Linked DNA regions of Daphnia pulex. The protein of the gene in region 2 interacts with the protein of the main gene of each other region in a biochemical or structural test. Links are inferred from orthologs where the notes say so. Each region holds a gene or a part of one and is shown on either strand. Other genes may lie near its edges.

Region 1 (8,845 bases), on a different chromosome or scaffold from region 2:
CAAAATGTTTGTTACTTATTTTTATATTGATCTACATGACAAACTGAGTAGCCATCAACTAGCAACAGATTTTTTCAAACAGAACACAGGAAGAGGTAGAGTTGATATAATTTCTCTCTCGTCTTCAAAAATAGGCTCGTAAGGAGGTTCCAAATAACCGTCAACCTTAGGTAATCTGAGTTCCGGAAAAGTTGACCAATGACGGATCATACATCGAACTGGGGTAGTTTCTAAGTTATTGATCTGTAAAAGAAATGGATATCATTACTATTGTTTCGTGAAATATACAAGAGCATTTGTTTTACCGTCACTGTAACAAGAAAGTATTTCTTTTCTAACTCTAAATTAGGTCCAGATATGGGCTTATCACCCATCTTAATTGCGTGGTCAGGCACCCAAATTCCAGTTCGACGAAAAGCTGCTCTTATGTGCCATTTTTCTATTGTCCAAGGATTTTCTTGATTAACAAGCACAACTAAAATCTTACTTGCCAAGTCGCGTCGAGTCTACACGTTGTAAAATGAAATATTGTAGCGATTAAAGTAACACAACAATGATGTGATTATACCAATTCTGCAAAACGAGAGCTGTGAAGTGTAGTCTGGACTTTATTATCTGAATTTTCAAGATCTTTTTTCAGTTTTTCCAAATTTTCTGGTGAAGCATAAACTGCAAGACCACATGCTAAGAGTTTAAAGCGGCCAAAATTAGGCCGTACAGTTACAATTTCATTTTTTAGACCAACACCTAAATCAATCATTCAATTATTAATTATTGTTGAAGAGAAGCAAACAGAACCCAATTATACCCTCAACAAAGGAAGTCAGGATGAGCTTGAGATCTGGTTCTTTTTTTAGATTAGTATTTTCAACTTCATCATATACAAAGTTTTTTGTCACTAGAGGTTTTGGGGGTCTATTTTGTTTATCCAGTAACGGTGGATAGCGTCTTTTCAGTACAAATGTGGTCTGATTGGAACAAAACAAAAAAAAAATACTTGATATTGAGAAAAGAATTTAGTGCCACTTCTACTTCTTTCTGTTTAAATAGATAGAAATAAAGAGATAGCAATTTCCTCAAAAGGTATCTAAACCTTCTCTGATTGTATAGTAAACAAAGAAATGTGTTGTTGATTTATAGTTACCCTTATTTGTTCAACTTTTATAGACAGAGAAGGCTGAAAAGTTTTTGCACCACCAAGTAACTGGAAACCAAGGCGTATCATGTTTAATTTAATAAGTATTTAATACACACACACAAAAAACATGTGATACTCGAATAGAAAAAGGATTTCAATTTGACTTATGAGTTTGCCCTCGCTTCAGCAATCACCGGCTCCCCGCAGACCCGCTCCCGTCACAAAAACCGTCTGCTAAATTCTGAATGTTTGCCAAGTAATTTTGATTAAACAAAACGCATGAATAAAAAAATCGTAAATGAAACAGAAAAAACTTTCAAAATATTAGAAATAAATTTTTGAAAACAAATTTTTCATTCTATATATATTCATTCGTGTGTAACTTTTTACTGTAAAACTGGCAACTTACGACTGTCAATTCTGCCTTGTAATGTTGAGTTTTTTTCCGCTGCCGGCCTGAGCGTTGAAATTGGTTCTGTAAACGAGAGTACGAGACCAAAGACATTAAAAGAAGGCAATAGAAAGCTAAGGTTTTCATAAAACAATATTTGAAAATCCGTTGCTCGAAATCATCTTCTCAATATGCCACCTGTTGAAACTATGGAAGTGGACAGCCCCGTTACGGAGGTTGAAGTGGAAATTACGAAGAAAGACGTTAAGGATGTTGATACAGCAACCACAGAAGGTATGGATTGTAAACTTGTCTGGAGAACAGATTAAAATCTTTTCAAGTTCTTCTGCTTTTAAATTCCTAGATTTTAAAATATATGAAAAACTTAAAAATTACAATTGTATTGTCATCTGTTAAATGAGACTAGTTAAATTTAAATTATTTGTTATAAGATTTTCTGGTTTCCAATATTTACGTGCAAGGATAACATGCTGGTGAAAAAAACTTACAGTCTCTTTAAACTTTATTACAGATATCCGTGAACAACTGAGGCAAGTAGAAAAGTCTGTTATAACAAAGGAGCCTCGATTTGTTTTCCGAGTACTGAGGTCGTTGCCTAACACTCGTCGTCGACTGAATCCCGCTGTATTACGTCGCATCATTCTTCACAGTTATAGCTATTCGATAAAGGAAAGAGACAACTTGCTTAATCTAGTAGGAGGGGATGACTCTCTTGATATTGCATCTCCAATCCAAAGAACAAGAGCTCCCAAACAGGGGACGTCTTCTCCTTTACCTGAAGTAAATATATCTCGGTCAAAATTCGTTTTTAACCTTTGCTGACTGAAGTTTATGTAGGTTGACGTATACATCCATATGTTAGTTCTTCTTCATTGTATCGATAATAAGCGCATTCAAGAAGGAGTTCTCTGCTCAGACCAATTAATGCAGAAAATAACAGCTCAAAATCGGCGTACTTTGGATTTATTGGCTGCTCGTTGCTACTTCTATCATTCTAGGACGTACGAGCTTGCTGGAAAGCTGGATTCAATCAGAAGGTAAAAATGAACTAGCTAAAAATACCTTTCAAAATATCTTAAATTATTATTATTATTCTAGCTTTCTGCATAGCCGGCTACGTACATGTACTCTCCGAAAAGATTTTGAGGGACAGGCAGTGCTGATCAATTGTTTGCTGCGCAACTATCTTTTCTACAGTCTGTATGATCAAGTAAGTTTTCATTATTTTATTTTTATTTATTTTTCATTAGATTACCTAATAAGTCGTTTTCTAGGCCGACAAGTTGGTCTCAAAATCTGTCTTCCCAGAATCTGGAAGTAACAACGAGTGGTCACGTTATCTTTACTATCTTGGAAGAATCAAGGCTATTCAATTGGAATATTCGCAGGTGAGAACACACAATTATTATTATTATTATTTTAATCTCCTAATTGTAACATTGTTTTGTTGATTTTAGGCTCACACTCATCTTTTGCAAGCCATTCGGAAAGCGCCCCAGCATACAGCAGTTGGTTTCAAACAAACGGTTCAAAAGCTTTTGGTAACAGTCGAGTTGTTGATGGGAGACATTCCTGAACGGCATATTTTCCGTCAGTCAACAATGAGACACGCCTTGGCTCCATATTTTCAAATGACGCAAGCCGTCAGGTTGGGAGACATACACAGATTCAATCAAGTGTTAGAGAACTACGGAAAAACTTTCCAGGCAGGGTCTTTCAAGCGAATGTTCCCCCTCCAAATTATATAATTAACTTTCTTATTTATTTAGGCTGATCATACCTATACTCTTATAATCCGTCTACGCCACAATGTTATCAAGACTGCGATTAGAGCCATCTCTTTGTCGTATTCGCGCATTTCTCTAGCTGACATAGCCCACAAGCTTTTGTTGGACTCGGCCGAAGATGCTGAATTCATTGTTGCCAAGGCCATTCGTGACGGAGTTATCGAAGCTTGGTTAGACCACGAAGGAAAATTTATGCAGAGTAAGGAGAGCATTGACGTCTACAGCACCAAGGAGCCTCAGCTGGCTTTCCACCAGCGAATCACCTTCTGCCTTCAGATTCATAATCAAAGCGTCAAAGCTATGCGCTTCCCTCCCAAGGCATACAACAAAGATTTGGAATCAGCAGAGGTAACCCCAAACTAATTTCGTTCGATTAATTGCAGGAAAAAATGAGTTGATTATAAGAAGCAATATTGTGAATACAACGGCGTTACTCAATATCGAATTCCTTGGCGTGAAACCAAATGCAACTGTGTAATTTAAAATCTGAAACTGTAGATCTATCAGACATGAATTATCTGCGTTTTATGTATTGGGCTATGGTAAAAAACAGATTAAATTTTTCTTATAGGAACGTCGCGAACGGGAACAACAAGATTTGGAATATGCGAAGGAAATGGCTGAAGAAGATGACGATGGTTTTCCGTGAGTTGTAGGTACTGAAATCAGCGCGTAAATGTGAGCCTCTATGTAATCGTTCAAGTTGCGATCCACTTTAATAAATCATCGAGGGAACTCAGGAAAGTTTTTTTCTTCGTTATTGGTCATTAATCCCTGGGAGAAAATACTGCAAACTGTAACTGTCGCTCAGAAAATTCAAATGCATCAATTTTGATTGCAGCACATCTATAAGATCGAATAGAAATGAGTGTCGGTTTGTGTTTAGTAAAAGATGTAATCATATTGTTTTATACCACAAACGACTTTTTGTGGATTAAGCTGTTCATGAGCTAGAAAATTTGATAGACGTTTCAATTCGATGGTGACACTAGCTTCATCTTCCTCTATTAAAACGTTACCGATAATTAAAACTATGTGGAAATGCTACAACCTTAAAGTCTTACTTTGCTTTTCAACGTGTAGATGATCGAAGTGTGAAGTTACGGAAACGGCTTCAGTTTCAACAGTTAGAGTAAGTAATCCTTCGGATGTGACGTGAAGAGTGGCCATATTGGCAAGGTTTTTCATGCGTTCAATAATGCTTTTCATTAAACGGAGCTGAGGCATATGAACTGAAATCTAGAGATTAATGGGTTTTATTTTAAATATTTATAAAGATATAAGAAAAATATCTAAAAATAATTACATCTGGATCCACAACTTCTGGCTCAACATAGTCATTCCAAAGCCTTCTAGGTACCAAATTCACAGGGATGTCGTGAACAACTAATCGTGAATGATTAGAACCTGATGGCTGAAAGTATACATGAGAAATTTTAATGCATATAAGGAGAATAACAAGTCAGTCAAGGAGCCAATCTCAAGAATACCAAGTCAATCTCAAAAGTTAGACACGGTGAAGAAAGCTTCTTTGTGAGTTTGATTTTTACTGATTTTGCAGTTCCTGATACTTTCAAGGCACTCAATGTTCTTGCAACATTTTCTATTAATTAAAATAAGAAAATTTTGAATCTAATAGTTTTAACATTGTTTGTACACTTCACCTGCAACAAATTCAAGGTATATTTCGTTATCAACGGTACTTAAACCTTCCATTCCAAATTCTGAAAAAAAGTGACCCTCATCAAGAGTACACCAAATAAGTGGAGAGGTTGAAATAGTCTGGGATTCACGGACAATGAAATACAAGTCGTTGGTAGTGATCCTTAGAATGCATGATTTCCCAAGTTTCGTCATGCAACCTAAAATGCCTGTAGTTTAAAATGTGAAGATCATTGATGACTTCGACTTATGAAATTTTAATCCTAGAACAGCAATGAATAATAGAATTCGGAATTGCGTACCTATGAATTGCTTAATGCAGTTAGGATCAATCATTTTCCCACGAAACTTCATTGTGAAAGTTGAAATGAGATCTTGAAACAGACGAAAAAACTTGAACAATAATGAAGGAGAAAATTTTGAACAGACGAAATTCCCCGGCTTGATTTGAGAATTGAGACTGCCAAATTAAGTTTAAAGCATTCTATATTTTTATTATTTTTCACTAACTTAATACAATTAAAAATTTATTTCTATTGAAATATTCATAAATTTAATATATAATTTTAAAAAATTCTTTCCTTTTTATTTCAATTTCAATTATTGCATAGGGAAAATTTGGCAACAATGTTTTGCCTTGGCTTGATTTTTTCGCATTCCCCATACGTTGTTTGTTTTCCTCGGCAAGAATTTTGCAGTTGTGAGTTTTATTGGATTAATATAAAAATCAAGAATCAAGAATCAAGATGACGCTTTCCAGTGATCTGGAAGTTGATTGTTGTGAAGAAGAATTGAGTGAAACTCAAGTTAGCTTCTTTACAAATGCTATGATGGAATATGAAAAAGCCATGTCAGAAGCCAACCAGATTAAAAAAGGTAAACTATACATTAAAACTAAACCGGCAAGTTAGTTCAGTTTTATTTTTGTCAGAAGGTTCATCAGTCACAAAAACTGGAAATGTTTGGTTGGTGAAGTCTACATATCAGGTTAAAGTTCGGAACCCTGTTGCACCACCACCTCAGTTACCAACACCAGCGGTTCAGCAGACTATGCATAGTCCTCGAAGTGGACCTACTCAATTTTTAATTAGACCCCCAATAATTCCTTCTGTTCCTCCTGTTTCCACACTACCAACAAAAATTTTCAGGCCTCTGAATCAGTCTATAGCTCTGTTACCTGCTGCAGATGAAACTCCAGCTGTTGATGAAACTCCATTTCCAGCATCACAATTGCTTTCACAATTTACTGCTACTACCGCAAAGAAACAGAAAGCTGCACCATGCATACAACCTGGCCAAGTTGGTCAAACTGTTCAAGCTATTCCTCAAACTATTCAAGTAGCTCAGGCTGCCCAAACTGCAAAAGTAATCCAGCTTTCTCATACTGTAAAACCTCCCCAGACTGTTCAAACACCAAAAGTCACACAAGCTGTTCAAGTTGCCCAAGCTACTCAAGTTGCTCAAGTTACTCCATCAATCTCAGGTGGAAATAACAAAAGAGCTAGTAGCAATCAACCTGTTCCCACGCAAAAGCCAAATAAGCCATCAGAAACATCACAAGCTCCTGCAGTTACTATCCCAACAAGTCAGCTAATGACGATCTTGGCGGTTCCTTCAAATGCCACTCCAGCGAAAAATACTGCGAGTGTGCCACCACCTGAAGACACAAAAATGCTGTCTAAAACGATACCTTCTCTTTGTGTCGTTGTTCGTCCGGCAAATTCAGTTCCCGACATCGTAAATGCCAAGAAACGAGAGGCACTAGGTTGGTTGAGTATTTTATTTTTTTTTATTTTATTTTTTTTTGTGCATGTTAAAAAAATTATTTCATTCGGTTTGTCTTGCTTTTTAGATTCGTTCGTAAAGAGCCGTTTAGTTCTCGATCCTCGTCGATTTGCGGAATGGTTAATGCAGGTTGGCCTTTTACGAAGTCAGCAATTCGGCACTTGTCGAACACATTTTAACGCGACATCAACCCCGGTTCCATTACAACTGCGAATGTACGCAGAAGAGAATAAATTTCCATTCAGGTAAAAATTTAAATAAGACGTGAACAGGTTATTGAATTGTGAATTAAATCCATTGAACATTTAGTGGGGGCTATGTTTGGATGACAAAATGTTGCGATCGCAACTTTGTTTCGATATTTCGTGAGTCATTATTTGAGGATTCTACCCAGTCCCCAACAGTTTTGCTAAAGCTCATTTATCACTGGGCTTGCCAAACAACCGTTTCGAACGTAGTTCAGTGGGTGAAAATCGATCATGTCTTTCTCCGCTTGTTCTATGGCATGTTACGGAGTGTTTGCACGGTACGCGTTGCTAGTTATTTATATTTTGTAAATTTTCATATTTATATTTTATACGAATGTAGGTAGAAGTGCATTCTAGCACTCCATTGTTCGGCTGCAAAAATGGCCGCGTTGAGGTTGGAGTGATTTCATTAGGTACAACATCGACGGATGGAAAGCGACGTGACGTTAAGGTGGAAGTCCTCGGCGTCTATGATCAAGAAACAAAGAAATTCCGACTGCGGGCCTGTGAACCAATCGCTGGGGATACGCGTAGTCGAGCTCGATTTACCAAAATTCTAGAACCCCTTCCAAAGTAAATGAAAATATTGCATCCCCAATTGCTATAATCTAATTTTTACCATTCCACGTTTTGTTTAGGTGGGTGAATCAGAAAGCCATTATCATGACAGATTTCACTGTTGAACGTGCGGCACTCGAAGAACTAGGATTTCGTCATGTAGTACAGAAAAATTTAAATACGGTTTCTGTTGATGACCGCCTAAACAATCGTACCATTATGGAGTACCTCCGCAAAACGGTGCCTAAGGTGTTCCAGAATACCCTATCACTTCTTTCAACTGCTACGATCCAGCAGTTCTTGGATGAACTAGTGTGGCGTGAAATCAACGGGCAATCATCATCTGATGCTTTCCATAATATTATTCGCGATATCAGCGCTCAAGCTCGTGCAGAAACCGGAATGCCATTAGTCAAGTGAGACATTCTATCTTAATTTTCGTATATTGTTATTTCTTTGATCAAAAAGAGGGAAACCATGCAATTTTCTGCTTATATAACTTTTCCTAAAAGCACTATTTTGTGTTGGCCAGGCGTCTACCTATCGTGTCAGTCGATCCATTCAAAGACTGGAGCATTACTCAAAACAAACCAAATCAAACCTCTCCAAATGAAGCCACGAGCACGGTAGCTCTTAAGCGCCCAATGGTCTCAACTATTAAAGAGAGCGCCTCAACGAGTGGGGCAAGTAATGCAAAGGAAATGCGCACTGTATCGTACTACGCCACTATGTTGGATTTAAGTAAAGGAGTAGCCATTCCGGATCCGGAGGATTCAGAAATGACAAGACCTCATCTCCAATGTCAGGTAGTGCTCTTTAATGGTCTTCGCGTTTTAATTTATCCCTTAAAATTCACGTTTACTTCGTTTAGCATTCGGAATGCAAAACAGTGACGCATACTAACTTGGAAATGATGGCACACTTGAGGCAACATTTGGTGAAAGACGCAGTGACTGATGGAGATGATTGGACGGAGCATTGTAGTTATTGCTTGGATACTTTAGCTACTGCAAGTCAGAAAAAAGCGCACGAAGATAATCATCACTTGTTTCTTTCGACATTTAAGGTAAGCATAAGATTATTATTGGTATGATTTCAAATGTTAATCAATGATCTCCCTGGTCTATAGTCTCAAATGTCGAGGGAAGATACTGCTTCCGTTAAAGATCTGGTGTGTTTAATTTGCCACGAAAAGTTCGCACAATTTCGCCAGTTGGAGCAGCATTTGGAGAAGACGCATGTGTACTGTGAGATG
Region 2 (9,388 bases):
GTCGACCCAAAAAGTTATCTTACTGATCCAGACCAACCAGGAAACTCTAAATGGTTAAGATACACACAGGCGTGAGGCACTAAAATCTAATGCTCTGTGCGCTACAGGTATATCCTTACCCAATGGATGCAAAGCCTCTTCGACCTCCATTGAGCTCGCTGCCTGTAAATTAAAATAATAGTTTTATCACAGTCATCACATGGAATGAAATTAGACTCTATATTACGGGATTCCAAATATACAATCACACTCAAGGCAATTATTCAGAAGCGAATTATTTTCGGGTTCAACCAATAACAAGATGTTCCTTGAATCTTATGTAAATCACCCCACCGGCGATTTGATGAACTGTAGTAGGAAGAACAATTTACTTAAGCGTAGACGTTAATAACGACCACCAAATGGCTATTCTTTAGTTTAATTTTTGATTTGTTTCCTTAAGCTCTCAACGAGCCTTTTTTGTTCTTCCAATTCCTGCTTGACCATCGCCAACTGAAACTCTACCTCGCGAAGATCCTTTTTCATCTCCATACAAGTGGAACAACTCTCATCGATTACGACGGGCTAAAAATCAAACAAACAATAAAATTACTGGTTAGGAACTCGTTTTGCAATGTTCAATTTGAAAATCACTTTTGGCTTTTCTGGGTATTTTGACTTTTTGTCTTTGATGAGGTCGACGATGATTATATTTGATATCCGCTTCCGGGACTCGGTCGTCTTGGTATCAGATTCCTTCATTCCGTATTGCAATCTTTCGTGCCCATAGTCCATTTCGACCGCAGATTGGTCTGCAATTTCACTTTCCGTCAGCTTTTTCAATGATAAATTCAACGAAGGTACAGCATTGGGTTTTAACAACTTTTTGTCTAAAATCAAAAGTTTTCTTTTTTTACAAAGTTAATTCACGATAGTATTTCTGAAACGCTATTATACTTGTTTCTCTGTAATCATCCATATCAAAGTGCATGGAGCAAACCTTGCCCTTTTCTTTGGGGATCCAATCGCCATTCGTTAAGCTCTAAATTAAGAAAGAATGCTTGAGTGTTTGCTGTTTGGTGATAGAATAAACATTTTGTTGTCTACCTCTATCCAGAGTTTCTTCCTTGCTGGATCTGCTGGAAATTCATGGAAAGAAAGTGGCTCAGGCCAGAGCTGGGCCTCCCTGTACTGTCTACAATTCATGGCAGAACACACATAGTATGCTTGTGCTGTAGAAGTGGATGAGGCCACAACACCTGATGAGTTTGTTGCTCTTGCTGTATTGGCTGCTTTGGTCAACCCACTCTTAGGCAATGGCTCCAGGATGAGATGTAGTGATGGAACTGCTGTTGCATTAAGACGTTTGACTGCAGATGCTAAAATAAAATGAAGTGTAACAGCGTCCAATCTCTCATTTTATTTTATATTGCAGTTACCAGTTGCCTCTCGATAGCATTCAGGAGTAAAATGCATGGCACATATTTTCGCTTTGTCTCCTGGCACCCAGTCTTCTCGTTCTATTATCTAGAATATTAAAAATTATTAGTTTTCAGAATCTCCCACTTGTTGAATTATATGTAAATCTTACTTCTAACCACAGTTTCCTCCTTGCCAAGTCTGCTGGAAACTCATGAAAGGTCAATGGCTCTGGCCAACGATTAGCCTCTCTGTATGATCTGCAGTTATTGACTGAACAAATATTCCTCTCTCGTTTTTTATGCAACATTTTCAAATCATCGGTCGATGAACGATTTAAAACACAGAAGTAAAACTCTCCAAGGCTTCGGATGTAAAGGCATTTGGATCCGCAGACACACACCAACAATATGTAAATATTCAAAAGTAGACAAATACGTTATTAAGTTCCAAGTAGTTTCCTAAAGTGTTTTGTCAACAAACACATGTGACCAAATTAGTCTACAATTGAAAATATTTCTTTCTCTGTTAGAATACGAAGTACCTCTAATGTTTGGAATTTCTGTTCTCTGAATGTGCAGTGTGAGATATTAATCTGAGGCGATACACAGACGCCATCTATACTGCATAGAACATTTTTGTAAACAACGAATATCCTGCCACAAGCAATCTATCTGTAATTTTGTGGCATAATAAATTGAACTAAATACCGTTTTCTAATGATTGATAGATAATTTTCAGGTTTCATAAAGTAATCGCTATTCGAGTTTTTTCCTTTTTTTTTTTATTTCTTAAATTTTCTTTTTGACGATAGATGTCTCATTAGAGGACCAGGTGGCAAAGGGTAATTTTTCAAACTAGGCTAGGCCCTAACGCTGTTTCTGGCTAGTAGGCTATACAAATAACTAATTACACGAAATTTGAAGACGGGAAATTCAAACTCCCACAACGAAAATAAGATACTATCTCGAATGAGAATTTCAGATATGCACTGCATCTTTCACGGAATCAGTTACACAAAGTATAAAGAGAAAAGACGGTCGAAGCAAAAACTCATTCCTTTTAGCCAGAGAAAACTTAGTATAAGCTAATGGAACGAATGGCGAGGAATTCCATAAATATAAAGATACTACTGATCAATGATAATTAAAATTAGAAATCAAAATTTTAAATGAATGAATTACAAGTGATGAATCATGGTTAATAGTAATAGCCTCATGTAAAACGAGTAAGCAAGTTACATCGATAATAATGGGCACAATTCATTGTTTCAGCATTAAATAAATTATTTTGCACGCTTAAATTTGGCTCCTCCTTTGCTTCCCTTTTTCGGTTCCTCGGCCTATTAATAAAAAATGGCAAATTAATTTTAAATGCATCATGCGGTAAAAAACAAACAAACAGATAATACAACCAACCTTGCGCTTTGAAGCCGGTGTGGAAGGCGTAGACGGTTTGCTAGAAGGAAGAACTTTGAAAAACGAATCAAGTCGGCCTTGCGTCTGCCCTGTTTTCGCTTTACACAATTTCTTGGCGCCTGAGCGAATGCGCTCTTCGTTGAAGTTTTTGTCACCACACATAAATTTGACTAGACCTTCTTCATCTGGCTGTGTCCATTTCAACTATATATGGAAAGAGGAGGCAATGGGACAGTGCGATTAGGTTGTGATCTGACACGTAGTAAGTTTAAGGCTTACGTCAAGGGTCTCTGCATCTGTAACATCAGGCGTTTTGAATAGTCGTCTTGCTTCTTGATAAGGCCAATTTTCTGGGACGGTGTACTTTTTGGTATCAAGGTTTTCGATCACCTTTTCAATGCATCGATGTTTGTCTATGAGTTCCTTGGCTCTTTTGGCGCCTATTCCTTTTATCGTGTCACAATAATCGCAGCCCAACATGATGCATAGATCGATGAACTAAGAAATTGAAAATTTAATAAGACAAACATTTTAAGATTTTCTTCGAGCATTTTTACTTCATCCATTGTGTACGACAGTCCGTCCAAAATTTTATCCAAATGGAATTCCTTGATGGGCATTTTTTTGGCTTCACTGTATGTCAAGTATCTCAGCAGGACATTGGAACCAAAGGTCAATGAATCCATGTCTTCAGTTGCAGTTGCATAAACCTTTCCTGCTTTCACCAAAGCTGCACACTGAGCTTCAGCTTCACAGGGTGCCTAGACAGATGAAATGGTCATGCTGAAATGTTGCCAATGCAAAAACGGCCAACCAACCTCAACATAAGGTATTCCCATTAAAGTAAGTAGTTGTTTGCATTCATCAGTGTGTCCTTTGTTTACTTTTACCAGACGCTTGTTCATTTTTTCCATCTCCACTGCATCACCTATTGAAGATAGATAGATAGATAGATTAAAAACCAATTTTCGTGTAACCATAAAATTCTGCACAGAACAACCATAAAATTCTTGTAAATACCTGCATCTGTGGCAAGAACCAGTTGCTTTGATGCTTCTTCTCTTTTCTCTGCTCTTTTGGTCAGTTCACCCCCTTTCATGTCAGGTGGTTTTCCATCAAACACATAAACAGGCTTGATTCCATTATCAACCATCCGAATGGTCCGGTAGAAAATACCCATCAAGTGACTGTATGAAAGAAAACATTTCAATATACTTGTTTAGGGATGGAAAATATGTAAAACTGAACCTAGTAGTTTCTCCATCGGCAGAGGTTAGCATAGCCCCTTCAGATCGTACAGCTATAAGAAACTGGTAAATGCTCATTGAAGCATCAATGGCAACTTTTCTGCCTGAAAGAACACAAATAGGGTTACAGGTATTTACATGATGAATTATTTAACAAGATACCGAAATAGTTCTTAATTTCATTTTCTTTAATGGCAGTAGGAGCAGTATCTCCAATCACTTGGGTCAGCCCTTTAATACCCATTCTGAGCAGTGAGAATCGAATGGTGAAACTAGGATTTAAGAACTATTATGAAACTTCAATTCTGTTTTCTCTAAAATCAAACTGATGCCAGTATTTTCAACAGACGTTTTTTTTTTTTTTTTTTTTTATGATTGATGGGGCTCCGAGTCAACAGACGTTATGAAATTGTATGTGTATCTTAAATGAATAAATAAGAAAGTAGCTCCGGAAGACTGCAGAACACGAATTGTGTCACGGAAAAGGCGCCAAAAAGTAGACGAAGCAGCAAAGCTGAATGCAGCGTTGCCAAACCCAATAATAATACCGCCTCACGGACGGCATCTAGCGGCGGAGATAGAACCATCTGCTGGCTAGGCGGGCTAGCGCAAGCGATTTAACGGCTGAAAGCGACTTTCCCGTCTAAATTTCTCTTAATTAACCGTTTCTATAGAATATTATACCCTAAATAATTAGCATGTCAGACTATTTTATATTGTCATTTGCCTAGTCGCCTAGCCTAGTCGTTGATTTGGCATTTTTGATTTTGACATGATTTTGACATTTGAATTTCGCAACATCGATTGAGTCGATATTTCATTTGTTTAGACTTACATTAACATCACTTGTCGCAGTTATTAATATGCAGGAACGCTTCAAACAATTAAAGGTTTCATCGCAGCTATTATATAGACATTTGGTTAAATAAAAACGTATAGGTATATTCATGACGCTCCTAATGAGTTCTTGACAGGCATCTTTTCTCGTTAGGGTGCTGGGGGATGCGCCTCCCTCCCTGGTCCCCTCCCATAACGCTTGACGCCAAATAAATGCAGAACAGCGGAATCAAGACACACTTAACTCTCCAGTCTCTTTCCACCCGACGTGTATACCGCATCCGCCATCCGCCAGCAGCCAATGCGAGCCAATGCACAGCAGCTGTGGTGGTCAAAATCGATTCGTTCATTGACATGCAACTGACGCTTGTGATATCTTATCTAACCGACGTCAACGGAGAGAGAAAAGAAGAAAAGAAGCTGTTCAGCGAAAATCCAATTGGCTTTTTATTTTGCATAACTAGTAGAAAAGGGATTTTTAGACTTTTTATTTTGACAAATCCGCGGGCCCACGACCACTGCGCTCGCACCCAAATGGCCGCAAAACGGACGAAAACTGTCGCAGCAGCCAGACCATGTCAAAATGCCCGTCAGACATCAGCACAGCAGCAGCATAAGCTCTGGGCTGTTTTGCATCGGTTGATATTTATTCATGGCAGCGCAGAGCACGAACGGGTTTCAGCAGGAGCGAATATAACGGGCGTTGCCGCTTTTCACGTTATAATCTACGGCGAAAGCTTTTGCATAACGAAAATCGATCTGAGCATATCTCAGCACCAGCATCAGCAGCTCGCTCAACTTTATAGGCTAAAAGTATAACCTATACATGTTTAGACGCCTGGCAGCTCTCAGGGTGATCAGCACTAGGCTATATAGCTATAAGAACGAGATTGAGTCAATCACAAGTTTCCTTTCCAGCTTCTAATCTTCTCATGTAAACGGCAGTAGTTATAAATAAATTCTATTTTGAAATCAAATGTCAACTGTTTCAAAGAAGCCCTTTTAAATGCTCGGATAGGTAAAGTACCTCGGCAATTAAATATTCGGACGGAATAGCCCTGCTGAGCTGTCGTCCTCTAATCTATTCGTCTAACAGCACATCAGCACATGTCACATTTATATATGCTGTGCGCCGGACTCTTAAAGACCGACGGAGCGCGTACAGGATCGGCGACGTTTTCTTCATGTTCCGTCTAAAATCACGATGCTGAACACACCGTTTCCCATCTTCAAGACGTTCTCTACAGAGCATCCAGCAGCATCCAGCAGCGCTCCTAACGTTTTACTTATATTTCCCCGAATGCGCGTGATGAGAATATCCTATAAGCTTCTCTGCTGCTGCTGCTGCTGTGCATCAGAACGGCGGGTACTTATCGCTTTTGAGTGGCGGTTAAAGCGGCCGACATCAACGCGCTCCTCTTCTCAATCCAGCTGTCGTTTCATTCCCACTCCATTTGAAACAGGCTGACGGCAGCAGCACACACACGCAGTTGTACATATTAGAGACAGCACCATCATATATAACCGGGACAGCAGCAGCAGTAGCAGAGAAGAGAGAGGACGAAAGCACGCACTGTATCTAATCTGTAGAGACACTCTATCTGTATAACAGCGATGAGCTGATATACATTCTAGGAGATATAATACACGCACTTGAGTTGAAATGGCGAACATCATGCGCGGATATTATGTACGACGATGGCACAGTCATTAAAATATCAGGAGACCGTTTGTTACCATGGCAAACATATAAGTAGTAATCAATAGTCATCTCTAAAAGCTGGCTATACATTAGTGTTTCACCGTTGTGCTTTTTTTAATTCGTTATCGTTATCGTTAATCGTTATTTTTTCAATTTTTCATTCGTTTCGTTCTTCGTTTCGTTAATTTAAACGTGTCGCATTTTTCTCTTTTTGCGACCGTTATCGTTTACCTTACAATTTTTTTTTAGAACCTAGTTTTCTAAGGCCTGTAAGGCCAAATGATGTAGCGAAAATAATGACGTAATTCCTCGCTAGGGGATCGCTAAGTCGCTAGTAGGTGGTCATCCCAAAATTGAAAATTCCAAATTTTGAGGGAAAAAAAAGTTTCCCCTGGTGGTCAAAAAATTTGAAATCTCTACGGTTTTGATACGAAAAATTTAGCAAGAAATTAACGAAAACAACGAAAAAAACAGCCATTTCGTTATCGTTAACGAAAAAAACGAGCATTTTCCAAAAAAGTCGATAACGAGGCTCGTTAATACGTTATTTTCGTTGTCGTTATTTAAACGAGTGAAACACTACTATACATGTGTGTACAACCCCGGTACAACCCTGTGTATAGCCAGCATCATCTAATATACCGGTGTGTATAGTATATAGCGATCGATAAAACAGCGACAGCACAGCCCATCAGTCTTGAGCGCCAATTTCTTTTTTTCGGTGTTAATTCACAACACAGCAGTTGCTCCTATAAATAGACACAAGTTAAAATAAACATCAGAGACGGCGAGAAGAGAGTCTATAAGGTTCAAGATGCTGGCGGTTGACGTGGTATATAGACGCGAGTTTATGTATACATACGGCGGCGCTTGAATGTCTAAAAGTTGCGGTCGTCCGTTTGTATATAATCTGCGCTGATGGTGTCATCGCGCGACACGAGTCGAAGTGTTGCGGGAGTATAAGTTTTTTTTTTCTTTTCGTGTAAACGATTCTGTATATAGAGATTGCAATCAGTTCGTTTTTTTTCGCTGGGTTGCCATAGGGCCAGATGGAAGAGGGGAGGGGGAAACGGAACAGGAAAAAGTTTAGAACGAACGAACGAAATAATAAAAAAAACCGAGGACTTGTATTACGAAAATCCCGGGGCAAATTGCAGTCGACGAATTCTAACTTTTGGGAAGAGGCGGGGAAGAGGAAAACGACGGGGAATATAAGTTTGGCGACAACAGCGGATCGCCCAGTAGGATATATTCAGCATCCATCCACCAATGAGAATCTCGTGCAACCCAAATGGAGTCGAGAGCCCCAGTCTCATTCGTATGTAATATAAACTGCACCTGACAAGGGGGATGAAAATAGACCAGCAAACTGAAACTTGACAGAGATTTTAAAATTCAATTATAAAGAAAGCGAAAAAATTTAGAAGAAATCAGTTTTGACGGATGTATTCCGGCCCTCCGCTGTCGTATTTAGTATATTAGGAAATGGTATATATTATTATATCCTGTGGGGGTTTTCGTCCATGTGCTGGGGCTGTAACAACATCACAATCTGGGTCGATTCGCCGGGAAATGTGGAACGCGGCTACGACGACGACAGTTTGTTGTGACTGCAGAGCGTTCGGTATATATACATATATATAATTGCATTTCTATGTTTATTTTTTCTGGTCGTTTTGCCTTGGTTCGTCGCTTTTTCGTCTAAAATGCGAGCAGCTAGCGCGGCGGACGACCGGCTATAACTTCGTTCCTTTTCAATCACAGGTGCCACTCTGAATTTTGATCGAGTCCATCCGCCCGTGTGATACCAAACAGTCTGCATCAAAAGGATGGAAGGAAGAGAGCGAGGTTTTTATAAAAATAAAAAAAAATAGAGAAGAAATGATGAATAAATTGCCAGATTAGTTGCTGGGGGGAGAAAACTCGTTTGCCATGCCCTGTCACCGCGCAGCGCTCTGATACTGGCTATATGCTTTGCAATATTCACAGTTTGTTTAGGCGCTTCTCGTTTATTGTCCAACTTTCGACTCAAATAAGGCCAGCCCTATATGTAGCGCAGCTCTCACACGAAAACGACGTCAAGATTATATAACCAACGCGGGTCTGGGCAACGGAGCATGGTGCCATGACAGCAGAAAGAGAGCCCCTGCTGCTCGTGCCTTCTTGTATGCACAGTTCCTTATGTCTGGAAACAGAAAAAAACAAATAGACAAGATGAAAATAGACCAGCAACGTGCCAGTTAGCCTACAAAATTGAAGCTTAACCCCAAAACAAAAAGAAGCTGTACAACGGAAAAAGTTCGCCGAGTGCAAAAGTGATGAATCGACAAATGAATAATTATTTATTGCGCCAATGTATATTAGTCGTTTCTCCGAATCGTTTTATATAACAACGCACGTGCGGGCTTTTCTTTTCTTTCTAGATGGCAATCGATGAGTCACAGCACGACCGCGATCATTAGTATTACGTATAGAGTGTGCCAAGAGAGCGCTGTCTCGAATGGGAATTCACGATCATCCGATCGTGAAAGATATAGAAGCGATCAATTTCCCTCCTATTGTTGAATTTTTTTTAGTTTAACAGAGTTATTATATACGATTGCGCATTATAATACATTTTCAAAAGCCAAAAGATCGATGTGCACCCAGCGAAAATTGTCTATTGACATTTGGACAATTGATTCAAAGTTAATTCGTCGATAAATGTAAGAATAAAAAAAGGAATAAACGTGAATAAATCGGCAGAATAGAGGGGGGAAAGTGATATATTTCTTTTGCATAAGTGA

The links.
Region 1: the proteins of flap endonuclease 1-like (region 2) and checkpoint protein HUS1-like form a complex in vitro, tested with the Homo sapiens proteins (2 studies listed by BioGRID). The link is inferred for Daphnia pulex from reciprocal best matches to the Homo sapiens genes FEN1 and HUS1.

What each region holds. Positions count from the first base shown.
Region 1 is NC_060024.1:9,948,755-9,957,599, forward strand, and holds checkpoint protein HUS1-like, read right to left. Parts: upstream 5,455-8,845; 5' UTR 5,354-5,454; coding exon 5,302-5,353; intron 5,209-5,301; coding exon 5,002-5,208; intron 4,941-5,001; coding exon 4,828-4,940; intron 4,752-4,827; coding exon 4,644-4,751; intron 4,577-4,643; coding exon 4,402-4,576; intron 4,342-4,401; coding exon 4,252-4,341; intron 4,184-4,251; coding exon 4,095-4,183; 3' UTR 3,987-4,094; coding exon of another isoform or gene 3,909-3,986; 3' UTR 3,778-3,908; downstream 1-3,777. Other genes in the region: 39S ribosomal protein L9, mitochondrial-like, read right to left, coding at 55-243, 306-506, 569-747, 809-968, 1,145-1,225; probable 26S proteasome non-ATPase regulatory subunit 3, read left to right, coding at 1,721-1,823, 2,062-2,330, 2,388-2,587, 2,649-2,760, 2,825-2,938, 3,008-3,256, 3,320-3,685, 3,909-3,986; uncharacterized protein LOC124200064, read left to right, coding at 5,746-5,875, 5,931-6,764, 6,852-7,029, 7,094-7,310, 7,373-7,605, 7,671-8,006, 8,123-8,396, 8,462-8,656 and 1 more. UniProt on the Homo sapiens protein: Component of the 9-1-1 cell-cycle checkpoint response complex that plays a major role in DNA repair. The 9-1-1 complex is recruited to DNA lesion upon damage by the RAD17-replication factor C (RFC) clamp loader complex.
Region 2 is NC_060025.1:1,070,180-1,079,567, forward strand, and holds the start of flap endonuclease 1-like, read right to left. Parts: upstream 4,578-9,388; 5' UTR 4,467-4,577; intron 4,416-4,466; 5' UTR 4,308-4,415; coding exon 4,226-4,307; intron 4,168-4,225; coding exon 4,065-4,167; intron 4,004-4,064; coding exon 3,837-4,003; intron 3,745-3,836; coding exon 3,635-3,744; intron 3,578-3,634; coding exon 3,374-3,577; intron 3,315-3,373; coding exon 3,096-3,314; intron 3,021-3,095; coding exon 2,817-3,020; intron 2,741-2,816; coding exon 2,684-2,740; 3' UTR 1,943-2,683; intron 1,860-1,942; exon of another isoform or gene 1,764-1,859; 3' UTR 1,571-1,763; intron 1,507-1,570; 3' UTR 1,419-1,506; intron 1,359-1,418; 3' UTR 1,087-1,358; intron 1,022-1,086; 3' UTR 937-1,021; intron 870-936; 3' UTR 634-869; intron 565-633; 3' UTR 227-564; intron 163-226; 3' UTR 120-162; exon of another isoform or gene 47-119; 3' UTR 1-46. UniProt on the Homo sapiens protein: Structure-specific nuclease with 5'-flap endonuclease and 5'-3' exonuclease activities involved in DNA replication and repair.